2 linked regions of the Oreochromis niloticus genome follow. The protein of the gene in region 1 binds, or shares a complex with, the protein of each later gene. Links are inferred from orthologs where the notes say so. Each region holds a gene or a part of one and is shown in the gene's direction. Other genes may lie near its edges. The genes, in order: unc80 and unc79.

Region 1 (12,477 bases):
TCCAAGATCTGTCGTTCTTGATAACACCTCACATTAAGATGTGTGTGAGCCGTCCTCGTGGAGTGTGTTCGTCTTCATCAGCTGTATTTTGTGTCTCAGAAACAAAAACATTTACAATTGTATAATCTTGCATCGCGCATTCACCTGGGCCACAACATACAGTATGTCTGCATAGTGCATATATTTCATAACATAAACCAGTTCCCTCTGCAGCCTGCAAGGCTGTCAGTTTCTCTTGTTTACAATGCTCGCACTAATTCACATCACCCATGGACAATAAAGTTTAATTGAAGCACCTGCTCCCCGTAGCGTCACACAGTAGCGCCAGTGTTCTGTGTTTGTTTGATGTCTGCACCGTCACTGCTTGCGTTCATGTTAACCTCCCCTCCAGGGATCTGACATCAGCCTCTCTGTGGCTCTTCTGTGGACTGCGGTTGATTGACTCACGCCGCCTTTGTCTAGAGATTCGTGTCATCTCACCTCGTCCATTTTCTTTTTTTTTAAAACCTGTCGCTTTCCTTTCACTGCATTTCATGCCTGTTATTTGTGGTTTATTCATATTCAAAGCATTTAAAGGTGAATTTGTGCAATGTGCCACTGCTCGCAGGTCCAAATCCAGACCAAGAAGATCGACCTGAGCCATGTCACCGCCAAATGTGGCTCCTTTTCCAACATCCACCACAGACCAGGTACTGTACAGCCACAGCTGGCCTTTTAGAAAAACTTAGAGAATTACATTAATTGTACAATGTATATAAGGGCCTTTTCTTAAAGGAATTCTGAGACTAGTTGTCATTACCGTTGAAAGAAGTTACTCATACTATAAACTTTTAAAAAAAGTGGTGATATATAATCTTTATGTATATCTCACTGTAATCCACGAAATCTCCAGCTGAGCAAAAAATCCTAGGCCCACAATGGTTCTTATCTATATCTCAGACAATGACCATCATCATGTTGCCTAGCAACCACCTACCAAAGAGTTAAAATGGCCCATTTGCAGCGTTTATGCACCTATGACTCCTTATAAAAGCTTCGTATCATTTTAATTTAGTGGCAAAAACATCTCATTTATATCCACAGCAGTTGAATTATGCATGATAACTTATGATGTCTAAATGCTGCTTAGCAACTATCTAACAACACACTAAAATCGCAGACCAAACAATACTCCAGCATGCATTTAACTAGTATATATGATATATGAAAAAAAGGAAGGCATCCTACTTGTACAAAGTATTTAAGGCTCTCTTCTTAAAGGAATGCTAAGACTAGTTGCTATTAGCTGATTTTGATTTGTCCTTATGGATATAAATGATTTTTGTGCCATTTAGAGTGTAACAAATGCTGTATTTTATGTTAAATGTTGATATGGATCATTAAAACCTTCCAGTATTGATATATGTACCAATTCTCTTTATGTACATCCACTGTAATCCATGAACCCTCCAGCTGAGCAAACAAACCCAGTCCCTGATTGTTCTTATCTATAGCACATCATTACACTGCCTAGCAACCACCGACCAGCAAGCTAAAATGGCCCATTTGTAGTATGCAACTAAAACTCCTTATAAATGCATTGTATAGTTTTAATTTCAGGACTGTACGCTCTCATTTATATCCACAGGAGTTGGATTATGCATGGTATATACTAATGTCTTTATGTTGCCTAACAGGCACCAAGCAACAGACTAAAATCCCAAACAATGCTGTAACATTTTTAAAAAAGGGCAACCAGCAAAGTACTCCATAACTAAATTTGATGAGTGTCTTAGACATTGACAACTCGTGTAGAACAAAGCACCAGCGTTAGTGTTTCTTCTGTTTTGGTAGTTTTTCCACTGAAACGCTACAAATGTTTGTGCAGCACACATACTCCTCCACAAATAGCCAGTTTCTGGGCTGACTGAAGGTGGTTGGAAGGTTTTATCATGTTGCCCAATCCTATTAGGAACTTAATGTGAAGACGCTGCTTGATTCCACACAACTATCAGCTGTGCTGCTGCTCTGCTACATGTGCTGCAGGCAGCCCGGATGGAGTCAGAGCTGCTCTGCTGGACAAACTATGACGGTTTCTAAATGACCCCAAACCTCTTTTACCATTTAAATTTTACTCTTTTAGCAATTGGAGTTACTGTTGGTCACCATCCATTTTATAATAGGTTATCATTAACGCTCTTCACTCATTTTATATTACATGCTTGTCTTTAACTTACAGTGCAACACATAGTTCAGTGGCTGTGGGTTGCACAAAAGGAGTCAGAAATTCCACGCAGACCAACATAAAGATGTCAAACTGTTTGTCATATTTTTAAAAAAAAAAACAAGGCCCAGTAACACCAGTCTTTGAGCGAAAGTCTGTTCTTGTCAAATTAGCTGTGATTTAGTAAAAACATATGTATTTCCTTTCATCGTACCAATAATCTGATTGATATTTCCTAATTTTGTCTGTCATCTGTCCGCTTACAGCTTCAGTTTTGCCCCCATGATGTCACCATTTCAATGATTTTTACAAGAAAGTGTCAAAGCAAGAAATTGAATATTGCATCCGGTCTTATATGGTACTATATAAACTGTATAAAGCAGGTCAAAGCTGGCACTTGTGCCTTTTTCAGGCTGTGCAGTGTGCAGACTGAGATTTTTTTTTTGCCCTGAGCATTGCCTAGGAGAAGTGGTGTCCTGCAGGCGAGCGATTCCTCGTGGGTTTAACACTTCTCTTCTCCTCCTTGCTGTCCTGTTCCCAGGGGGAGGACATGTGCGTATCGAGAATGTGAAGCTGGACTTCAAAGAGAAGGCCCACGCCAAGGTCGGCTCTCTGGAGAACGCCAGCCACACTCCCGGAGGCGGGAACATCATGGTAAAAGGAAGCCTCTTTTTATACCAAATGTCACTGTCAGTTCACGTTAAAGAGGAAAAAGAGCGTTGACCTAAACCATCTTCCCCTGCTCACCAGATCGAGAGCCACAAGCTGAATTTCCGGGATTCGGCCAAAGCTCGGGTGGACCACGGTGCGGAAATCATCGTCACCCACTCCCCCGGCATCGAGACGGGAGGCACCTCTCCTCGCCTGTCCTCCGCCGGCAGCATCAACCTCCTGGAGTCCCCCCAGCTCTCCACGCTGGCCCAGGATGTCACCGCTGCCCTGGCCAAGCAGGGCTTATGAGCCAGCTGCCTCTGCTTAGGAAAAATACAAATCCACACCATCACCCCTCCTCCTTTTCCCATCTTTCCCATCACAAGCTTCCAGTGTTTAACGTAACCCCCACAGTTGTAGCTGGTTGACCGTCTCGTCCAATCAACGATCCCTCCGTCCCTTCCAAGCGGGATTTTAAAAAACTGAATTCTTCATAAATCTTCAACGACACTCCCCCGTCTGTCGGTCTGCTTTTTATCCTCTCATTCACTCAAACGTGGACTGTTCTGTTTTAGATAAGCTGAATGCCAAGGTTCAAGTGGTTCAAGAAGGTGGTTTTACGATTGTACAGTATTTTTCTTTGGTCCTTTTTCTGTTTATTTGTTCTTCTTTTTCTTTGGTGCGTTGAAAAGCACCGACACATTCCCACTCGCACGGGGCTAAAAACTTCAAGTTGGACCCCTGCGTGACATCCATTCAGAATTTATACGGTACTGAATGCAAGATATAGCTACTAGAGAGTAGGTGCTAGTCTTAAAGATAAGCGAGAGACTTAACTGACCTGCAAAAGAATGGCTGATGAGCATGTCTGCAAAAAGAACAAACAAAAAAAAAACGTGTGACATGAACTTTTCTTTGTTGCGTTTGTTGGATTTCCTGAATTGTGCTGAATTGTTGGACAAACTTGTGTTCTCTTGTTTTCTTTTTATATATAAATATATAAAAAAATATATGTCACTGTAGTTGGAAGTATTTACAGTTTTGTACGTTCCCTGTGGCTGCTCTGGCTTATTAGCATTTAAATGTGGATAACCATTGCAGCTCTGTCGAGTCGGGCGCTAAAAGGCTAGCTTTCCAATAGATTTTTGTGTTTTATTTTCTTCTCTCGTCAGCCGTCGGGCTGCGCCGCCCCTTCCCCCCTCTCTTCTTTTTATTTTCTGGTTTTACATTAGCGCTGTGGTTTTTATTAGGCTACAACAATGCTGTTATGCTGGCATGGCAAATAAATGATAAATAAATTAGATCTATTTGGAGCGATCTTCGACTTTTCTGTGTGAGTGTAAAATGGCCCGGGTGCATTCTAGCATACGGGCCCCTGTGACCTTGCTCCTTTTGCAAAGACTGGGTTGTGTAGTGTATTTGAGTGGGTGAAAGCCCCGAAGTTTGTTTTAAAAAGTGTTAAGTGTGAAGCTTTATATGAAAACATTCCATTTGAAAGAAGTTTTTGAACGTTTGCGGAGATGAAAAACGTGAAGAATGGGAATAATACCCCACAAAACTGCAGCTTTTAGAAGTTTTTTTTTTTTTTTTGAAAAAAGAATAAAAAAAATGTTCTAGCATATTCTCTGCTCACCATTATGAGACTCCTCCGCCCCCCACCCACCTCCCCTCCTGATGTCACCTACCCTTCCAGTGTTTTTCTGTGCTTCCTATATCCCTCCCTCCCCTCTTTGCCTGTGTAAGTGTATTTAAAAAAAAAGATTTAAAAAAATTGTAGATGTGTGCACACTTTCCGGTGTTTGAGACGTACTGATGACAAAATGCTCCTACAGGATGATGGCAACAACAAAAATAAAGAAATAAAAGAAATAAAAAACTGGTTCATTCTAGTCTTGTGGATCAATTCTTTGAAAATTCTCATCTTTTTGTGAAAAACGCGTCAACCTGCATGTTTGGCGTGCCTGTTTGGTTATCATCAGCACGCGTTTTGAAGGTTAAATAAAAATGTCATCATTATTCATTAAACAGGAGGCATTGCTGGCATTACTGTAGTCATTTGAAGTTTGTATATTTGACAGACAAACGATTTAAAACCTGTTATAATTTTCTATAGTTCTGCATGAAGTTGATATGGAGGGTAAAACATAAGGCATGGGGGCCAGAATCGACCCAACAAACATCAGCCCTGTGGACAGCTTTGGAAAATGTGAAGGAGAGGTTAAATTTTGGACTTTTGACTGTATTTTCACAGATTTTACAGCTTTTTCTGCTGTTTAAACGCCTCTACAGTCATTCATACTATACCAAAGAACAACAAAGTAATTAAGTGATAGATAAACAATTAAATAACAGCAACCTTTCCCTTTTTTCATTACTACACACTTAATGAGTTTGTTAGTCTGGCAAAACAGTGTTTTAAAAACAGATATTTTTTGTGAATTAATAAAAACTTTCAGTTTTATTATTATTACATGATTTTTTTTCTGTAATTTTAAACATTAACATATTTTAGTTTATGCTCAATGAGGCGCGACGACAGATTTCTTTAGCTTACTAGAGAAGCATTTCTTTTCTCGGGTTCTAATGAAAGTTATAGTTGGACAAACACAATTTTTGCAGACTTGGTTCTATACACCACTGCAGCTTTTAATTCAAGAGGGTTAACAAAACTGTTAAGAATTACAGTCATTTCTGTATACTATCCCATTTTCAGAAGCTCTAAATCAATTAGACAATTGACTGACAGGCAGTTTGATGGCCAGATTAGGCCTGTTCCCTTCTTCCATGACAAATGAAGCAGATAAAATATCTGAAGTTGATTCCAATCCAATTTCACAGCTTCTTACTTAAATATTAGGGTCAAAGAAATGTCAGCGCATGTGACAGAGGCCATCATTAGAGCTGAAAAGAACTATCAGATATATAGCAAAAAATGTAGGAGTGGACAAATCAGCTTCTTCTTTAGAGGAAGGAATGTTCTAGCACACGAAGACAATAAAGTGGATGTTAAAATAAATAAAATGAGCTTCACAACATTTCTCAAGAGAGAGACCAAGAGATGCCTTCAACAGCATGCACACCACTGGTCTCACACATGAATAAGATGGCCAGATTGCAAAAAAACATGTAAACAAGCCAAAAAGTTATGCAAACAAATTCTTGAGACAGATGAAATTTTGAAGAAGGAAAGAACCAACCCATGATCTGAAGAATATCACATCATCCATCAAACATGGTGGAGGTCATATGGGTATGTATGGCTGCCAGTGGAACTAAATCACTGGTGTTTACTGGTGATGTCTCTGCTGATAGAAGGAGCAGGATGAATTATGAAGTGTGTGGGACTATTCTCTGCTCAGATTAGCCGAATGCTGCACAACTGACTGACCTAAAGCATCCTGTTAGAGCAACCCAAGAGTTTCTCCATGCAAAGATAGAGATATTTTTTAATGGCCAAGGCAGTCACCTGAGGACTTAATATAAAAATGGCTGTGATTCCTGAACAGTTAAAAATATATATTTTTGTTAAGCCCATTGAACAAAACCAGGACTAAATCAGTGTCTTTTTCCTGCAAATTATAGACTTCAATGCCTAGATGGTGACTAAACTCCGGTTTTCAGAGTAGCATGACCCAGACAGCCCGTTTTGTTGTTGCTAAGCGAGAAGAGGTGCTTATCTTGAATAACGGGTATGTAATAGCGCAATTTATTTAAACGTGGATGGCTGTTCCTGACCACCAACCAATCGGGATTGGCTGGTGGTCAATTAGATAAATGCTTCTGAGAAATGTGCAGGGAGGCTCATCCCGTAGTAAGACATCTCACTTTGCTAAAGAACTGGGGTTACGCAAGTAACCTAAAGTTTTTCTTCCCTACATTGTTAATGTTCCTTTAACTGATCCTTTTCTGTCTTTTGTAAAGTTTCATGCATGTTCAGACCAACCCTGCTGGGATTCAATGTTCATGGTTTTAGTGTTTGCAGCGTGAGGCACTGTTCAGATGCTGTGACTGTCCATCTCCTAAGAACAGTTCTGGTCTTTCTTTTTCTTCTTTTACACGGAAACACCGTATACAAACAGCACTGCCATGTTAAAAACCACGGTGCATTGTTCTGGATTTCGTCAACAAGTTAGATCCATGTTCGTCACCTGTCCAATAATGCAGACATTATTTGGCCTGATGAGGATATTATTGCGCGGCATGGCCTCTTTAAACAGTGCGAATGTTTCGGGAAGTGACACCTGATTTGATTTTGCTGTGTTTTTATGACTCACAGCTTGGGCTATTATTAAACAACCTGTTGATATTTAAAGGGGTGGATTATGGCGCGTGTGGATGCACCACGCGGATGCAGCGGTTTAGGTCGCTCCATGTGTTGATTGCGGGGAAGCAGAGGAGGAAGAAAAGGCAGAGGGGGAGAACATCTGGCCCAGCTGCACACTGCGTCTTTAAAGCCCCGCTGCTGCTGCCGCTGCTGATAAATTAGCTCTCCGATCAGCTGTCGCTGTCCAGGGAGGGAGGTGCTGATTTCGGAGCGCTCCTTCTTCCTCTCTCCTCCTCCTCCTCTCTCTCTCTATCTCTATCTCTCCTTTGCCGCCGACCGACCGATCGACACTTGCAGCCATTTTACGCAGGACTAACCCAATCATGTCGTGAAGAGGGAGGGAAAAGCTCGCTGGTCACCTGGGCAGAGCCAGCAGCCGCGCGTCCCGGTGATCGCACACAGGCAGGCGGCCACGCAGGGTTCGGCCAAAATGGTGAAGAGGAAAAGCCTGGATGAAAACGAACCGGAGTGCGGGAAGGGAATACCGTTCCCGATCCAGACCTTCCTGTGGAGGCAGACCAGGTTAGTGACATTGATAACAGGTGTTTGCCGTTGGTGAAAACAAGGCAGGGCTGACGGGGGTTTGTCACCGCCTCACACGTCAACATTATTTGATGAAGTGATTGAGAAACCCAGTGAGTGTCTGCTCACTGATTTGTGTTAAATGGAGGAAGATGGGGCTGTGGGTGCAGATTGTATGATGTCACACCTGTAAAATTTGCACAAAAAGTGGGCCACATAGACAAAATGGGGTAATTTACTAGCCTATAACCTACATTTGTCCTTTTTTAATCTCTCACAAGCACTCTGTTGATGTCTTTCAGTGCTTTTCTGCGGCCAAAGTTGGGAAAACAGTATGAGGCATCCTGTGTGGTAAGTCATTTCATAATACCATGTGCACGATGAGGGGAAATAATCGCTTCCCTTCCCAGTAATCTGTTTTTACCTTAATGCACCTGCAAATCAAGTGAGCTCTTGATTTTGCATTTAGCAAATTAGTTTTGCCCCCGTGCTTCCTCCCATTACCCTCGAGCTAGACTCATATCCATAATGACGCTTCTCCAGATCCCTTTGGATCCAAACAGAGCTTCCACTGTCTCTCCCACAGGCTTTTGCTCGCTCGGGGCCATGTGGGACATTTAGATAGTCAAAGAAAGAGGCTTAAGTTGCCCGCCTGATGTCTCTCTTCTCCTCTTTTTTCTCTCTCCTTTGGCTGCCTCCCCAGTCCTTTGAGCGAGTGCTGGTGGAGAACAAGCTCCACGGGCTGTCGCCGGCCCTGTCAGAGGCCATCCAGAGCATCTCCCGCTGGGAGCTCGTCCAGGCGGCGCTGCCTCACGTACTCCACTGCACCTCCATCCTGCTGTCTAACAGGAACAAGCTTGGTGAGGACGCTTTAGTCCAATCGAGCTGACAGCTTCATCCAGGTCATACCCAATCGCCAAAACACAAATCTGATGCTCCTTTCAGCTTCTTTCAGAGATCATCGCTTAAATGGACAGAAAGGCAAATGATAGAATTAATATTTATGAGATTAAAACAGCCTGCACACAACACGAGATAGAGAAAAGCATCAAATCCTTCCATGTGTCAGACATGAATGAGCCACTGTTTGCATTATTATTGAGCTGGATTTGACACTTTCTTTAAGTAGGAGGTGGCAGGCTTTGAACTAAGCTGTTAAACGCCTTCAAGTGAAAATCACTGTTGCCACACAGTACGAGGGTCCTTCATTCAATCCAGGTCAGATCCCTCCTGTTGTGCTGCTTGTTGTCCTTGAGGGTTTCCCCTTTGGGAGCTCAGGTTTCATGCAAGAACATGCTAGATTGGTTCTCCTGTCACTCCACCTTTGACCAAAGCACTGGCTAAGTCTCTGTCAGTGCTCTTGCTGCAGTATTTTGGATCAACTGAAGGCTTTTCAGAGAGTTTTTAGCTTGATATTAAGGAATTACTGTATTCCAGCCTAGAAGTAATGAAATGCATTAACTAGTTTTTTAGTGTCACTCTGAGAAAGGGCATTTCTAATTATAGAGAAATTGCACAAATAGAAGAAAGCAATCCAACATATTTGTTTAATATGTGAAGTTCAGGACGTATCCTGGTCAAAAAGGACTCGAAGATTCCTCACTGTGTTACTGGAGGCCTAAATAGTGCCATCTGGAGTAAGCATCTGGTTAGATATCATATTTCTAAGATTATTAGGGTTGAGGACAATAACTTCAGTTTGAATTTAGAAGCAGGAAATTAGAGGTCACCATCAAATATGACCAGTTTTGTAGGCATGCAAGAATTTTTGGAAGTGGAAGCTTTCTGGTTTCTCTCTGGAGTCCACTTGCAGGTGACTTGTTGCAGGCCAGTCATGTTTAAGCAGATTTAAAAAAAGTGTCTGCGTGTTTAGTATTTGTCTTTCGGTTACATCACAGGTCACCAGGACAAGTTGGGTGTGGCGGAGACCAAGCTGCTCCACACCCTGCACTGGATGCTGCTGGAGGCCCCACAGGAGTGCAACCACGAGCCCAGCCTGAGCCACGGCTGGTCCAGGGGCAGCAGCAGTAGCGCCTTCCTCCAGCCTGTGGGGAACCAGGGTTCCTCCCCGGGAGCTCCTAGCTCCTGCTCTGGCTCGGGCCTGGGCGGGTTAGGACAACAGCACAGCGGCTCCCTGCTGGAGGAGGATGAGCATACTCGCACCAAGCTATTCCAAAAGAGCATGGCAACAGTAGAGTTGTTTGTGTTCCTGTTTGCACCGCTTGTTCATCGGATAAAGGTGCGTAACTGCTGATGCAAATATGTACGGCCTTGAAATTGATTTTTGTAACAGAGAGCCAGGATGACACAGGCATTGTTGTGTTAATCTGTGGCATTAGACTATTTATAATTTTGATAATTTTGTGATTAAATTAATTTCAGCAACCCCTGTGTTGCTTAATTTAGTACTTGCAGTCAGCATCACCCTGTGCCTATTGATCTGTGTGTGCAAACAGATGAAAGGGTCAGCTTATATTACTCATGGGAGTGCACTGTTTCCCAGCTGTGCAGTGAATTACTGTCTTGTCTTGTTAGCATGTTGTAACAGAGGTTTAAGAATCTTAACAACACAAAACATTTAACCAAGACAGAATTATTGTTTCTGGTGTTTACAGGCTGTTTTTTGAGGAAAAAAATGTGTAAATATGTTGCCTTTTTCCAGGAGTCAGACCTGACCTTCAGACTGGCTAGTGGTCTGGTAATATGGCAGCCAATGTGGGAGCACCGCCTGCCTGACATCCCTGCCTTTACTGCCCTCATCAAACCTGTCAGAAACATTGTTACAGGTGAAAAAATTCCCAGTTTTTAAAGAAATTCCTACTATCTTTGAGAAATCGCCGCTATTTTTAAGGGCTTATATATAATAAACCTCTGTAAAGCTTTTAAAGAAAGTGGTTCTTAACCGTATTCCTAATATATAACCCATGCAGCTGTGTCAGATATTCCTCCTTAACATCTTTCATGTTTATTATGTTCAGCTGAACTAATTTTAACCTAAATCTGGGATACTTTTAGTTTACCATGTCTCAATTATAGTTAGTTAACCATAAATAAGCTTATAATTTCAACCTTTTATCTACTGCCCTTAGCTAATACTCTATTTAACAGCTATTTAATATATATAATTACGTTTGCTGGTGTTATATTTTTGTAGTTGGCAAATTTAAACTATTTAAATGTTTATTTTATTTTTTTATTTAAAACTGTTAATACACAAAGTTAGCTAACAGTTTTCTTCCAGCAACATAGCAGCTAAATCACTGGTGTTCATTTCATAGCTTTAGCTAGCTGCTGTAATACAGCTTTTTTATCTGTTATATTAGGCTAACAGTGTTATTTGCACAGTCACCTAACAATTTCATCTCTTTAGTTATGTATACTTTTATATTTCCACTGCTAATCTAAACAGTTAGCTAACAGTTTTGGCAATTTGGTGATTCGTACCTTTTTGCTATTTCAACTGCTGATACACCAAGTTAGCTAACAGTTTTGACTATTTGGTTATCCAGCATTTCAATCACAATAAGATGGAGTCAATCTGCTGTCAGTTTGTGATTGACGGGGTTAAGCTTGGTAGTTACATGCATTTTGTTTGTGATTAACTGTGATAAATCTGTAAAAATTGCAAATCCTTTGCAATCTACATACACAGAAATTCACACTAACGAATTTCATTTACTATCCAGGAGGAACCTCACAGATTTACTGCTCTACTATCAAAGTAATGTAACAATGCCGCCCCAAAAAATCTTTACAAAAAACAAATAGAGACGTATCACAGACGAGTTACGGTCATTGGCGCAGACTGACTTAGATTGATTATATTGTGTTTGCAATCCATCTGCATTTATAAATTAGGCGGCAATAATTGCAATGGAAAGGCAAAAACCTTCAATGCAATCACCAGGCAACCACACTGTCCTATTTTTGGTGTGTAACAAACACAATCCATAACGTTAGCTAACATTTTTAGCCATAGGACCACTCAGTTCTATAAATAGTGAAACGAATTATTCCAGGTGTCTGCTGCCTACTGCAGAAGAACCCTCTGGGGTACTTGTACCCCTGGTTGGGAATTAGTGCGTTGAGAGATAATCTATTTTTATTTGCTCACAATTAACACATGTATACTGTTATGCTTGTCTAAACAGCAAAGAGGAACTCCCCAGTCAACAACCAGTGCAGCCCCTGTGGATCAGGCAACCCGGGTCCCATGGTGAGCTAACGTTTTCAGCCCATATCTTGTCAGATTCTGCTTCCCATGTTGATTGAATGTGCTTGGGCAAGAGTCTGAGGCTTCTTCCCCTCCCCTTTTCCAATGTTCCCCCTGGGGCTGGCTGTTAATATTCATTAGCACGGTGAGCCGGGGTCATGACAGAAACCACACTCCAACCTCAGAGCCTTTAATTATCAGGAACTGTCTGCCTGTCTGTCTTCCTGATATCCATCTCTCTCTCTCTCTTCCTACCCATAGGGCTTCCAGGTGGTTTGCGAAGCCACCCAATCAGATTCCTCCTCCCCCTCAGCCGGGGAGCAGAGCTGTCGTCGTGGTAACTCAGTGGAGAAAGGTGGCCCTTCCCAACAGCAACCCCCACTGGTCAAAGGCCCTTCCAAGAAAAAGTGAGCATGTGTTATTCAGTTTCCCCTCAAGAAGCAGTGAGACATGTTGAAGCATCAATTTTAACTTACCAAACGAATGAATAAATGTATTAATAGAGACCCACAGAGGAAATCACACAAGCATTATTTTTGATTTATAAACGATCGATATTGGAGG
Region 2 (11,911 bases), on another chromosome or scaffold:
TATTTTTATTAGTCGAATGCTGATATATGTGTGTATCCATTTCACAATAGGAATCACAGAAGAAACGAAGTTTATTTTTCTGATTCACATACAACAAGAAAAATGACAGATGCCGGCCTTGGGGGATGAAAAGAAGTTTTGCTGTCACAAAACCTGCTAAATGGCCTCTGGGGTAAGTTGCCCATTACGTCCTTTGCTTACCAAGCTGTACAGAAATACAGCTTTCAGTTACAGATTGTCTGACTCTTTTGATACTTGATACAATCAAGGGTGCTCTGAAAGGTCATAAAAAAGCAATGCAGCAGTGAGCAGAAACCAGAACTCTCTAACACAGAGTGACCTCCATGGCACTGATGTGTCTGCACACATCTTGCAGCAAGATACCCGACTGGAACAACCACGGAAGGTTGGTGGAAACCAAAATAAAGTCCGCCCTCTTAAAATAATAGTCATATTTTGTCTGAAACGATAACCGGAGAGTCCAAATTCAGAGGCAGAGCAGACCGCTTATGTCGGCAATGTTTTTTGCCAATCAGGTAAATCAGCATAATGTTGTGTCAGGCCATTCAGCTGATTACAGATTCTGGCAGGAGAGCCATGGGAAACTAAGGAAAAATCGGAACAAGCTAGAAAACAGACAACACAGTGAAATGACAGAAACAGAGAGAGGAAACAAAAGTCCCCACGATGATGACTCATGGTGAGCAGCCTCAGGATTAGCCTGTGTCAACTAACAATATGAACCGTAATGGTGCATATTTGACATTTCACTGAGTACACTGTCAGCTGATTACGTTGAGGCCATGAAACAAAATGGCAAATATCAAACACAGCTACCTCAAAGTTAATTTGTTTTCTTTTAGACCTTTGATTTAATACATGATGGCAACTTAACCGACAAACACTGGACAGATGAATGTCATCCTGTAGGTGCGCTTGCAATCGAAAACCTAACAGAACCATCATGTGAAGTAGGCATACACTTAATGACTGTGCAAACATAACCCAGTAGTCGATCTTCAGAGAATGAATGGCAACTCAGGAAACAATGGGTGCTTATTTTAAGTGAGATGTCAATGCTCATTGTTGGGTTCTCCATCCAACTGGCCAGGGTAAACAGCATTCAGGGCAAAGTGTGGCTCATTCAATCACTGAGTGGCAAGTATTTGCAAGCTCGCTGCCTTTTCATGCCAGTCATGGACTTCTGAGCATGCAACTCTGATAATTACATGTCATTATACAGCTCTGAAGCACTGACACAAATACTTAACCCAGCGAAATGGTAAACATGAGCACTAAAGCGCACGGGGAAGGCACCTTTATTCAAGTGAGGAGCTGCAAAGACAGACAGGCTGCATTTTAGAAAAAGATGGAGTTAACGGACTGACTGCTGAGTCCACCCGCAATTTCTGTGAGATTACCATGGGATTATCGCAGACTGCATATGGCTCCTCATCACTTACACGGATGCTAATGCCAACAAACATCACATACGTTGTTAGAAAAAAAATCTCGCTACAGCAACACTAATTTTCTATTGGATGGGTTAATGTCAGATACCTACACAATTCAAAGAAGTCATTGGTATCTAAATCTGTTATGGTATTAATTGTATGACTTGTGGAAATTATTACAAGACCTAGCCACACTTCATCTTTACATAGCGGCTACAATTGCGGTTCAAGCTGTCCCCAAAGCTCAGTCTGTCAACTACTGTGTCACACAGATGCAATAATCAGCAACATGTAGGTTTTTCTCCAAAGTGACACAAAAATCACACTTATCCTGAACTTTTCTACCAATCTAGCCACACGCAAAACGAAAACAAATATGAGCACTCTTCTCCAGCCCGTATGAAAATAAATCAAATTATTTGCAAAGGCTTTGTTAGCCTGCCGTTATCACGGAGCTATTGTTGCTCTCTGAGCTACCGCTGCTCAGCGGAAGCCTTGGTTAAAAGTGCCTTTAAGAGCAAAGAAAAAAAATAAAATTAAAGCGGATTGTTTTTCGCGGCTGATAAATAAAGAAGGGAAGTAATGTCCAAATTGTTTGGCGACAGCCCAGCTACAGGAGTCATATTCACCACAGCCCTGTAATTAGTAGCATATCCTAAGAGGCTAGGGTAAGCTATCTCTGCGGTGTCGCTTTGACTTCAGCCCTCGGAAATTTACTTTGAGCAAGATGAGATACAACTGTTGAAAAGCGAACGTTAAAAGATATTTACCAGAAAGTGAGGAGCTTCGCAGGCATTATTTTTTTTCTTCGTTTCCCCTCGTAGTTTAGGCAGCACTCCGATCCAACTTGTCTCAGGCAGAGAGAGGGAGAGGGAGAGAGAAAAAAAATGCAGCTCAACACCTTCTTTTCCCAACTCTGCTCATTACGCACGGCTCGACGTCAACCTTTGGTCTCTAATGTGCAATAGCTTCCACTTGCATCGACTTTCCGGTGATTTTTCAGCATCTACCTCGACTAAAAACTAAACCCAGACCGTTTTAAATCTCGGTTCGGTTCGGTATTTCCCCTTAGTAGCACAACGCCTTGTTGGGTGGTTGTTATGGCCTATCCCAACGCTACCCGTTTCAAGTTAGCCAAAATAAGAAGGACACTTCCGGTCATGTTTTTCAAAATAAAACCTCCAAACGCGAGAGATTTGCATTTTCGTTGTGCAGTAACTTGCGAGCCCAATGAAAAAGCATTTCACATCCCGCGTTTGGTATTCAAATTTTGCACAAATTCTGCAGGTATCGAATAAGTACCGGTTAAATTTAAAAGGCACGCTTTGCTCGTGCTATGAAACGTCTTAATTTTGGAAGCAAAGTCTATCTTTCTTTGAATTTAGGTCAACTTAACACTCTCATTGCTGTATGCCGACTGTTCAAGAGGCCCGTCAGTACTCACGGCAGATTGTGCAATATACCGTTTGCGAGCGCCCTCTAGCGTTTAATTGGTGGCAGTAGTCAGAAATGGGCTACGTACGTGTCACAATCATATGGTCAAGACAGTACTTTCAGCTTCCCTTTACGTTTTATATAACTGATGACATTGTCAGTAATTCTGCAGGAGAATCGGGAGCTGTGACGAACAGCGGTATGCAATTTTAAGTATAATATTATAGAAAATGATCCAGACAATGCAACCCAGTGCATGTTTTGTCTATTAACCTTTCCCTCTTTCATTTAGAGGCAGACCTATGAGATGACGTTACTATGATGCAGGCTGCACCACCAATTTTCGCCTTGATTATTATGTTAAAGCTAACGGCTGCAATGCATCTTTGCAATACATACACGTATTGATCCCATAACACTGTTCGATTTGGAATATTTGTCTTATTCAGTGTCGACTATTATGTGAACAGGTATGCTAGTAGTAAAGACTTCAGGGATAAAGTTGGTTCTTATTTCCCAGCTAGATCTAGTTCTTACTGCATCCTGTTGAGGGCGACAGAATACATGTAATGTGAATGCCAAAACCTTTTTGTATGTACACTATAGGTTTAAAATAATCATAAACAATGGACACTGTTTTATTATTTACATCGACCTGTCGTGTTGATATAAATCCACAATTACCCTGCAATTACCCTGATTAAGAAATTCAAAAGGAAAAGCCCTAAATGACAAAGTTAAGCAATACATGTCTTTGGTTTTATTCAGGCAGTCTGTCCTCCAGTCTATTAAATAGAAGGACAGAATAGAATGGAACAGAACAGAAATACAAGAGATTTACTCAGACATCTAGATCGGCCTGTCTTTGTGTTGATTTGTGAAGACTATCTTTTAAAGATTTTTGTTAAGCGGTTCTGGTTGTGATACCATAATATTTTTTTGAAATGACAAAATTTCTATCTATATATGGAATTAACATACAAGTTGTGTAGTGATAGTAATACAGTTATTGATAGCTAAATATTCTCTACAAAGCCTCTGGTTAATCCACTGTTAAATCAAGAATTGCCTTACAAAATTATTTTCCTCACAGTGATCAGGCCACATCATATCTTTAAGACCTCATAGTATCATATTATCCCAACAGATCACTCTCAGACTACAAGTTTACTTGTGGTTCTTTGAGTTTTTAAAAGGAGAATGGGAGGCAGAGCCTTCAACTGTGCTGCCCCTCTCCTGTGGAACCAGCTCCCCGTTTGGATTCAGGAGACAGACACTGTCTCTACTTTTAAGACTAGACTCAACACTTTGCTTTTTGATAAAGGATATGGTTGGGGCTGGGTCAACAAACCCTAAACATTCACTTAGTTATCCTGCTATAGGCTCAGGCTACTACTGGACTTTATGTTTTCTCTTTCCCCTCACCCTCAATTGGCTTCTGCAGATGGCTTCCCCTCCATGAGTCTGGCTCTGCTGGTGATTTCTTCCTGTTAACAGGGAGGTTTGCCTTCCCACGGTTCCAAAGTACATGCTCATTGGGGGTGGCTTGATTGTTGAGGTTTTCTCCAGTACTGTAGGAACGTTATAGAACACCTTCAGCTGATTATTGTGGTGAGCTGGTACTATATATATAAACTTGAATTAAATTGAATGTTGTTGTTGTATTATCAATATTAATCAATATTCATTACATGGATTATCAAAAATCCATCAAATGCATATTACTACTTCAGCACTCTGTGTCCTGTGTACTTTCTAGAGAGAAAAAATGTTGTATATTGCCAACAATTGATTGCTGTGTTCTTAATTTAGGACTTTGTGTGCTTAACTAGCGACTGTTCAGCATTAAAAAAGACACCTTGTGTGCTCATTCAGGCTTAAAATCAATGTTTTGTAACCAATATTTCCCCCTTTCAGTTCATTTTAATCTTCAGGCACACAACCAAGGCCGAATTTGCTGTGATGAGAACTCATTCTGTATGTTTACACGAGTGTCTTTGGCCCATGGAAGTAACTCCTCCCAGGAAGAGTGATGGGAATTAGATAAAAGTACAGGCTATCTGTCAGTATCTCACAGGATGTGAGGATAAGTTTCCAGAGACACATTTTTCTTCTGTGAACGAGATTTACTGTGAGCTGTCTCAAGAAGGATGTCCGTGCTTTTTAGGAGACCCACACTAACCAGGTTGCTGCTGCTGAAGAACATTAAGCAAAATCAGAGGTCAACCATCTACAGCAAGCCACCCAAGGAAAAGATTGGGCCAGTGGTAGGACTGACTAACTTTTATTGTACTTGTAATTGCACTTAAACAGGCAGACATCCCTGAATATCTACACTGTATAATGTCCTGCAACAAAACCAAAGACTGTAGTAATATTTTTCCTAAACTGAATGGATGCTAAACCACAAGTAATGCAATTTTAGGGACTATGGTGGTATAAAAATGCAAACAATATAAAAAAGTCGGTCGTGGGAAGTCAGTGTCTGTGATGGTTCAAATGCCCTTAATGCGAAGAATTCAAGTGAACTGCATTCCCCAGTCTGCAGAGTGGAAGAGATGTTTTATTCATTTGTTATTTATAAGTCAGTGCAACGCTCTGGCCTCTGTAAAGGGATCCTATGATGGAACTGCAGCATAGCAGGAAGTGTTTATGCCACTATAAATCTGTTAATCTGTCCTAAGGGACATCCATAGGGGCTTTTACAAAGCTCATCCCAGGTTAGGAATACCATGGTGGAGAGGTACAGAGGGAATATCATGGCAGGAAAATATAAGTGGGTGGTGGAGGTGAAGTTATATCATGCAGTGAGTCACTAAGAGCGGGGCCCTCTGTTGTGTTCATTGGGTGCTTAGTCTTCTCTGTTCAACTTAACATATCAAAGAAGATATTTGAGAGCTCCAACACTAACACTGCATTGAATGTGTATTATAACCTTTCATGCAGTTGATTACATTTGCAGTGTCTGTGAATAAAACACTCATGGTTATATTTTATTGGACTTTCTTACAGCAGTCTACCTTTGCCTTATGCGTGTTTGCTGTGACTCTCCTGGCCCCGGCTGGCTGGATCATGCATCATATCCCAGAATATCGAAGACAAGGCCAGAATACCTCAACATGACTGATTTCTACAGGAACTCTGCAGACAGGCACCCGAACAATGTCACTGTGTGAACCTCTCTCCACTGTGTAAAATGTCGTGAAAAAAAGTAAAACCTTTGTTAAATCTGAAGTCTGACTGAGCTATTTTCCTATACAGTTACAAATGATAACTATTGTGTATTTTATTTCTGAGATTATTGACTGTTTTGAGGGTGATATTAAAAAAAAGACAAAATTTTTGCTTTAAAACACTTTGAGGATATCATTTCCATCAGTCAGGAGTATAGACATACAAATTTCTTGGCAGAAACCATGATGGGAAGGGTCTGTCAGGACCTCAGACCCTGCGGTCTGTTTATCGTTCAGTCCTGCATCTACTAGCGGAAGTGCCGCTTAAATGAGAAATGCTGCATTTAGACACAGGCTTAAATATTCATATACATGCACATTTATAGCTCGAAAGTGTTATTGGATAACAATGTACTCTTTAAAGCGCCCAGCTGATAGTGGAGATTAGTATTAATATTACTAAATATCAGTATAAAAATATTAGGACACGCTGCCAATCCACGGTGGCCAATCAGCTGTATTTATATAAAATTGGAAAAAAAAACCCACGATGTTTTCTCAAGGACATTATGTTTAAGAAGGTGTGACAACCATCTGTTGCATGTTTAGCATTTCATGCATTACAAATACACACATGTAAAGCATCACGGAGGCAAATAAGCGGAGGTGCTTAGTATTTCCCTCCTATAATCAGCTCAAACAGCGCTGATAGGGTTGTCGGAATTCTTGAATGACAATTTGTCAAAGCCGGATCAGTCCATTTGGAAAGGTATGGTGTGTCACATATATGTCACCACCCATCTCTGCAACGAGAGAGCAAAATCCCCACCACCACCTCAAAAAAATATATAAAAACGATTTACAAAACAAGCTCTCCCTTTATTTCCGTTCAAAGATCGCGAAAGCGACCGAAGCACAGCTAAAACACCACAGCGTATAAATCCGTCGTGCAAAGTGGTACAATCAAGACGAGCCTGGGCTGCAAGGGGGCATAGTCACTTTTTCACGACTGAGGGAAACACAACGCCGGGAAGGGAAAAACCTATCAAAACAACTGACAGTCTGGGTTTTATGTTTCCCCAAGTGTCTGCGAAATGTCTACGAAGGCAGAGCAGTGTAAGTACGGCTGTGTGTATCTGTGCGTGCGTGTTTCTGTTTTGTCTTGTGAGGGGGCTGGAAACTGATTTTTTTTTTTTTGGTTTAACCAAGAAAGCGAACAAGGGGAGCTGTCCTTGGTGATGAAACCGCGGTTGCCAAGGCAGGTTGCAACACGTCCTCTCACTGCAGAGGATGGCTGGAGGTCTCAGTGCACACACAGAGCCACTGAATCACCCTCTGTTTCTCTGCGTGTTGATGGAACAATTCCATGTCCGGATCGCTCTGTGATCCGTGTTATTTATTTCTTTTAAATTTTATTTTATTTTGATTGACGTGGCTGGCTGAGGCGCGTGGGAAAAGCGAAGTGTAATGCTGGTCTCAAGGTCGACCTGACAGGCTACTGAACAATATGGTGGCTTTATATTGATCAATCGTGGGGTCTGATCACACTATATTGACGTCTGTTGTTCTTTCCACTTCGCTGCTTGTGAACAGGTGGACACCAGCCGCTGTCTTCTGATTCTTTACCGCTAAACAATAGCTAAAAGACGGGGTCAAACTCAGTGTTAGGGGTTCCCAGCCCCATCAGCTGGTTAAAAGTTGGGTGTTGCTCCTGTTGTTTGGTAGCCAGTAAGTGAGGGAATGAACAGAAAACGCTGAATCTGCTGTTGTGACTAACAGCTCGAAATATTATTAAAAGCTTGAAAAATATTAAAAAATTAGTCCTTTTTTTCTGAGGAGGTTTAATTTTATGATGAACAGGAAAGATGCTGTGCTTCAGTATTTATCGCAGCACATGCTTTGACCAGACAATCCTCCAAGCCTGCAGCTGTTATTTTTATTTTGGGGTTTGTCATTTACAGGTCAGGAAGGAAGCTAAACATTCCTGCCTAAAGTCACAGAAAATGGGTCAGCGATCACCCACTTCAACATATTTGAACTCCTAACAACAAACAGCACAGTCATATCTGAACCTACAGAGATTATTTCAATATAGAGCAGCCAGCTGGGCTCATTACAGAAATGTTCCTCTGTGTTGCTTCTTAAGCCCCCTTTCATGTTCGCTATAACCACATTTTCCCAGCTTGTCTTGGGACTTGAACTGGCAACCTTTCGTGTGTGAGCTTGTTTCTGTAAGCAGTAGGTTACTGCCTCCTCTAGGGCTTCCTGTGACCTGCTGCTATACCAAAAAAGGTCGCCCGGTGAAGGCCAGAGAACCATGGGAAAACACACTCTTTGTTTAACTTAATAGCTGAAGGATTCATGTTAAATACTACCTAACAACTTGTTCAGTTACATGATATATGTCTTTGCTGTCGTGCATCATATCTCACTAGTGTTGATTTGCTTGTTGCTCTGCTCTTTATTTTGTCCAGTTGCCTCTAAGATACGATACTTGCAAGAGTATCACAACCGTGTGCAACACAATATTTACCCAGTGCCCTCCGGAACAGACATTGCAAACACACTGAAATACTTTTCCCAAACCCTGCTCAGGTAAGTACCCTGCTCTGGAGCCACCAGGTGAAGTAAAGATTGTAGAATGTTTGATATTAGCTTCCTTCACAATCAGATGAGATTAATTACAGCAGGTCGCTCTGACACACTTTCTCAAAGGCATGACAGTGACACAATTCAATGTCTCATATTAATTTATAATGTCAGCAAGAGGTTAAGGAAGTGGCCATCATGGCAGATGTTGCCTCGCCTCTTCTGCTCTGAAAGATACAGACTGTAGCAGATTTCCTGTGTAATTATGGTGTCGTCTTTTTAAGGCAGCCGCAGAGATAGATGGCTCAGTGATGTTTATTGATTCAGTGGTCGGTTGCTAGATGAACGCTTTCCTGGGGCGGTTTGTTGTGTCCTTCCCAGAGGGCCTGGAGTTCAGCTCCTCCGGCTATGCAGTTGCAGGGTCAGCCTGCTCTCTTGGGTGCTGTGAAGGGAACAGCATGTTATTTCCTCTTCCAGCATAGGTCAAGTAGGCAGCCATTTTGAACACGTCTAATTTAATAGAGCACTATTTCCTCTTTTTTTTCTCTCTGTCCAGTTGGGGCTTCATTTTTCCAGACATGCTCTGCAGAGATAGGATATTTCTTGTGGTTGCAGTATTACTACCCGCCAGCTTCAGTGAGAACAGAGGCACTGTCTTTTCTTATTAGCTAATTTATTAAAGAATGGTGGGATTACTGGAGGCTGAACTTGTGTGCCTCACTTCTATCATTATTATCAGCTTAGGGTGCAATCTATTTGAGATTGGCAGCTGGCCTCAATTCTACACAACTCCTCAGCCATCCATAAGGATTATTCCTCTGCCGTGGTGCTCACAGAGTATCCTGGATACTCCATACTTTGCTGAAGGGCTGTCCTGAACCAGTCACTGGGGTGTTTCAAATGTAGCCTCTCAGGGCACAGATTGAGCGTGACAGGGGTGGCAACTCTGGAAATGGGCATTAACTCGAGTGACGATTGTGCCTCTGCGGGGCAGTATCATGCGAGCGAGAAAAGAGTCACTCAGTATGATGCCACTGTTAACGGTTCTTTGATATTTTCCCGAAGCACAGTCTCTTAGCCTCAGATATGCAGAACAAAATCACTCTGCCCACCATTAGAGGAGTCTGGATTCCTCAGCGGGGACTCCAGGATTATCCATACATCTGTGCCTTCTGAAGCCCGGGGCGAAGAAATAGAAGAAAAAAAATCAAAAGGGAGAGAGAGTGGGAAAGTGGGAGTAGCGAGCCTTGAGAAGTGGAGCAGGCATGTGTCATCTTCGCAGAAAAGAAATAGCCAAAGGAGGAGGTTGTTGATTCATGCACCAATTTTAGGTCAGCTAGAGGGTTACGTTATCTCTTTACCAGCAAGTTTTATATCTTAAAGATGAGGCACAGTGAGCTCTCTGTATCAGTGAACATCACTGACGTTGCAACAGACTGTTTAGCCATCATTTCAGATGCAGCACAGTTGTTTCACTTCACACACCTGTTAACATGTTAATGCAGGAAACATGTGCTTTGAGTAACTGATACACACATATAGTCCATGATTTTGCAACGACAGTGCAGGGTTTGACAGTAAATGTATGTCATGTGTCCGTATCAGTGCATTTCTACATGTGTTTTATGTGTCGTTTGTAATTTTCTCGTGTCGTTTTGTGTGTATGCGTGCACATATGCGTGTCTTTGCGTGTATATGTTCAGCGTGCGTGCGTGTGTGTGTGTGTGTGAGCGCGTCCGATGTTTATGTCTATGTTCATTGTTCAAATTAATGATGTTTTCTATATGAAATATGGGCAGTGAAAAAGTCATACTCTGAGATACAGTCTTGTCGTTGTCTTTAAGTCCTGTTTGAGTTTATGCTGTATAATAACGCAGCTTTGATTACATAGTTTAATGAATCTACGCTGACTTAAATCCTACAGAGTATAACTTTGAGGGGATCAGTCACATGATGGTACGTTATACTGTTCTTATGCCATGTTAAAAATCTGATAAAAAAAGAAATCCCCTTTCTCACTTGCCATGTAACTCCAAATGCTGCAACTCTACTTTGTGAGTGACCTTTAAAAAAAAAAAAGCCAAAAAAAAAAAAAAAAAGCAATACATCAACATTTATAATCTGGGCTCTCATGGTAAATCCCAGTCATTTGCCTGATAGAACAGCTTAGCTCTTTAATAATGTGCAGTAAAAAAAGAAAAGAAAAAAAGAAAAAAAAGAGCAATGCTCTCTGGCCCTCCCCCTCCTCCCTCCTCCACCCTAGACGCTCCACACTCAACCCGACTAGTTTTTGCTTTTGTTTTTTTGTTTTTCTCCTCTTTTAAAATTGAATATGTCCACCACCTTTCCCCAGGGGACAGCAAACACAATTGTCCATCCTGCATTAGCTCACAAACATAATGCTACCAGTCATCTCCCCCGATACAACCTATTCCTTTGTCATTATAGTTTCTCCTCTACTGTAGATTAGTTGTTACATTTATTTTAGAAACCTGAATCCATATGCCTGTTGGATCTCATTATTTCTCCTGATGATACTGGTACAGTATCATAACGTATGCATACAGACATTATTTCTCTGGTGCAATAAACATGTGCTGTGACCTAAGAGCACTTGATCTAACCTCACACACATGTTTATTACTGGCTGAAGCATGTTTCAAAAGTGTCACCTCTGTATTTTCCCGAACCAATTTGGTGTCACTCCCATCCTTGACAGCCCCACTAAAGACAAGGAAATTTCATTTGGAAAATATACTCTTATGGCTCATTGGCCTTTTTTTTTTTTTGCATGGTAGCCACTGACCTTGCTGATTGGAAGATGGCAGCCATCGAGGGACAGCCGTTTGAGCTGTCCCTTTTTGGAGAAGTATGGGGTTGCCACTGAAAACATGCCATTTTTTATATTTTTGCTCCTTGTCACCAGATACGCATGAGATGCAGTGATCATTGCAGTTTGTGCTCATGTTTTTTTTGTTTGTTTTCCAAGTGCAAAGATAGACAAAACAAGATAAATTCAATTAAAGTCACACGGAACAGACAGCGCAGGGAAAAATTGCCCGTGCCTGCAGTTATACAGTTAAATAGTGAGACACTGCATCCTATGTGGGGTTTATCTGGGTTTGTTTTTTTCTATTTACGCTGTCTCTGTAGTGCCATTTCAATGTAATGTGCTGTTTTTTTGTGTCTTTGTTGTCTCTTTTTTTCCCTTGTTCCCCTCTCCTACCTTCCCTCCCCTCCCCTCCCGCCCCGGAGCAGCAT

The links.
Region 2: the proteins of unc80 (region 1) and unc79 are in contact, whole or in part, in a cryo-EM structure (PDB 7W7G), measured with the Mus musculus proteins. The link is inferred for Oreochromis niloticus from reciprocal best matches to the Homo sapiens genes UNC80 and UNC79. Residues at the interface, in NP_780719.2 of Mus musculus: Gln23, Thr24, Trp27, Ser31, Leu34, Arg35, Pro36, Ala80, Pro83, His84, His87, Ser94, Asn95, Asn180, Ala183, Leu187, Phe190, Leu191, Arg337, Leu340, Gln341, Pro342, His343, Arg1317, Asp1320, Glu1321, Asp1324, His1545, Val1546, Asp1547; in XP_030102533.1 of Mus musculus: Thr120, Tyr123, Ser127, Ala130, Thr131, Leu168, Ser169, Ser172, Met175, Ile176, Gln179, Tyr180, Tyr207, Tyr211, Gly212, Pro213, Ser214, Val390, Cys391, Glu394, Glu402, Phe405, Arg472, Cys541, Asp917, Phe920, Ser965, Glu966, Phe967, Ser968.

Annotation. Positions count from the first base shown.
Region 1 is NC_031986.2:22,030,731-22,043,207, reverse strand, and holds the start of unc80 (protein unc-80 homolog), read left to right. Parts: upstream 1-7,189; 5' UTR 7,190-7,608; coding exon 7,609-7,700; intron 7,701-8,002; coding exon 8,003-8,051; intron 8,052-8,403; coding exon 8,404-8,560; intron 8,561-8,617; exon of another isoform or gene 8,618-8,632; coding exon of another isoform or gene 8,633-8,681; intron 8,682-9,598; coding exon 9,599-9,939; intron 9,940-10,362; coding exon 10,363-10,486; intron 10,487-11,851; coding exon 11,852-11,916; intron 11,917-12,174; coding exon 12,175-12,320; intron 12,321-12,477. UniProt on the Homo sapiens protein: Auxiliary subunit of the NALCN sodium channel complex, a voltage-gated ion channel responsible for the resting Na(+) permeability that controls neuronal excitability.
Region 2 is NC_031983.2:11,498,426-11,510,336, reverse strand, and holds the start of unc79 (protein unc-79 homolog), read left to right. Parts: upstream 1-6,938; 5' UTR 6,939-7,155; coding exon 7,156-7,177; intron 7,178-8,535; coding exon 8,536-8,656; intron 8,657-11,908; coding exon 11,909-11,911. UniProt on the Homo sapiens protein: Auxiliary subunit of the NALCN sodium channel complex, a voltage-gated ion channel responsible for the resting Na(+) permeability that controls neuronal excitability.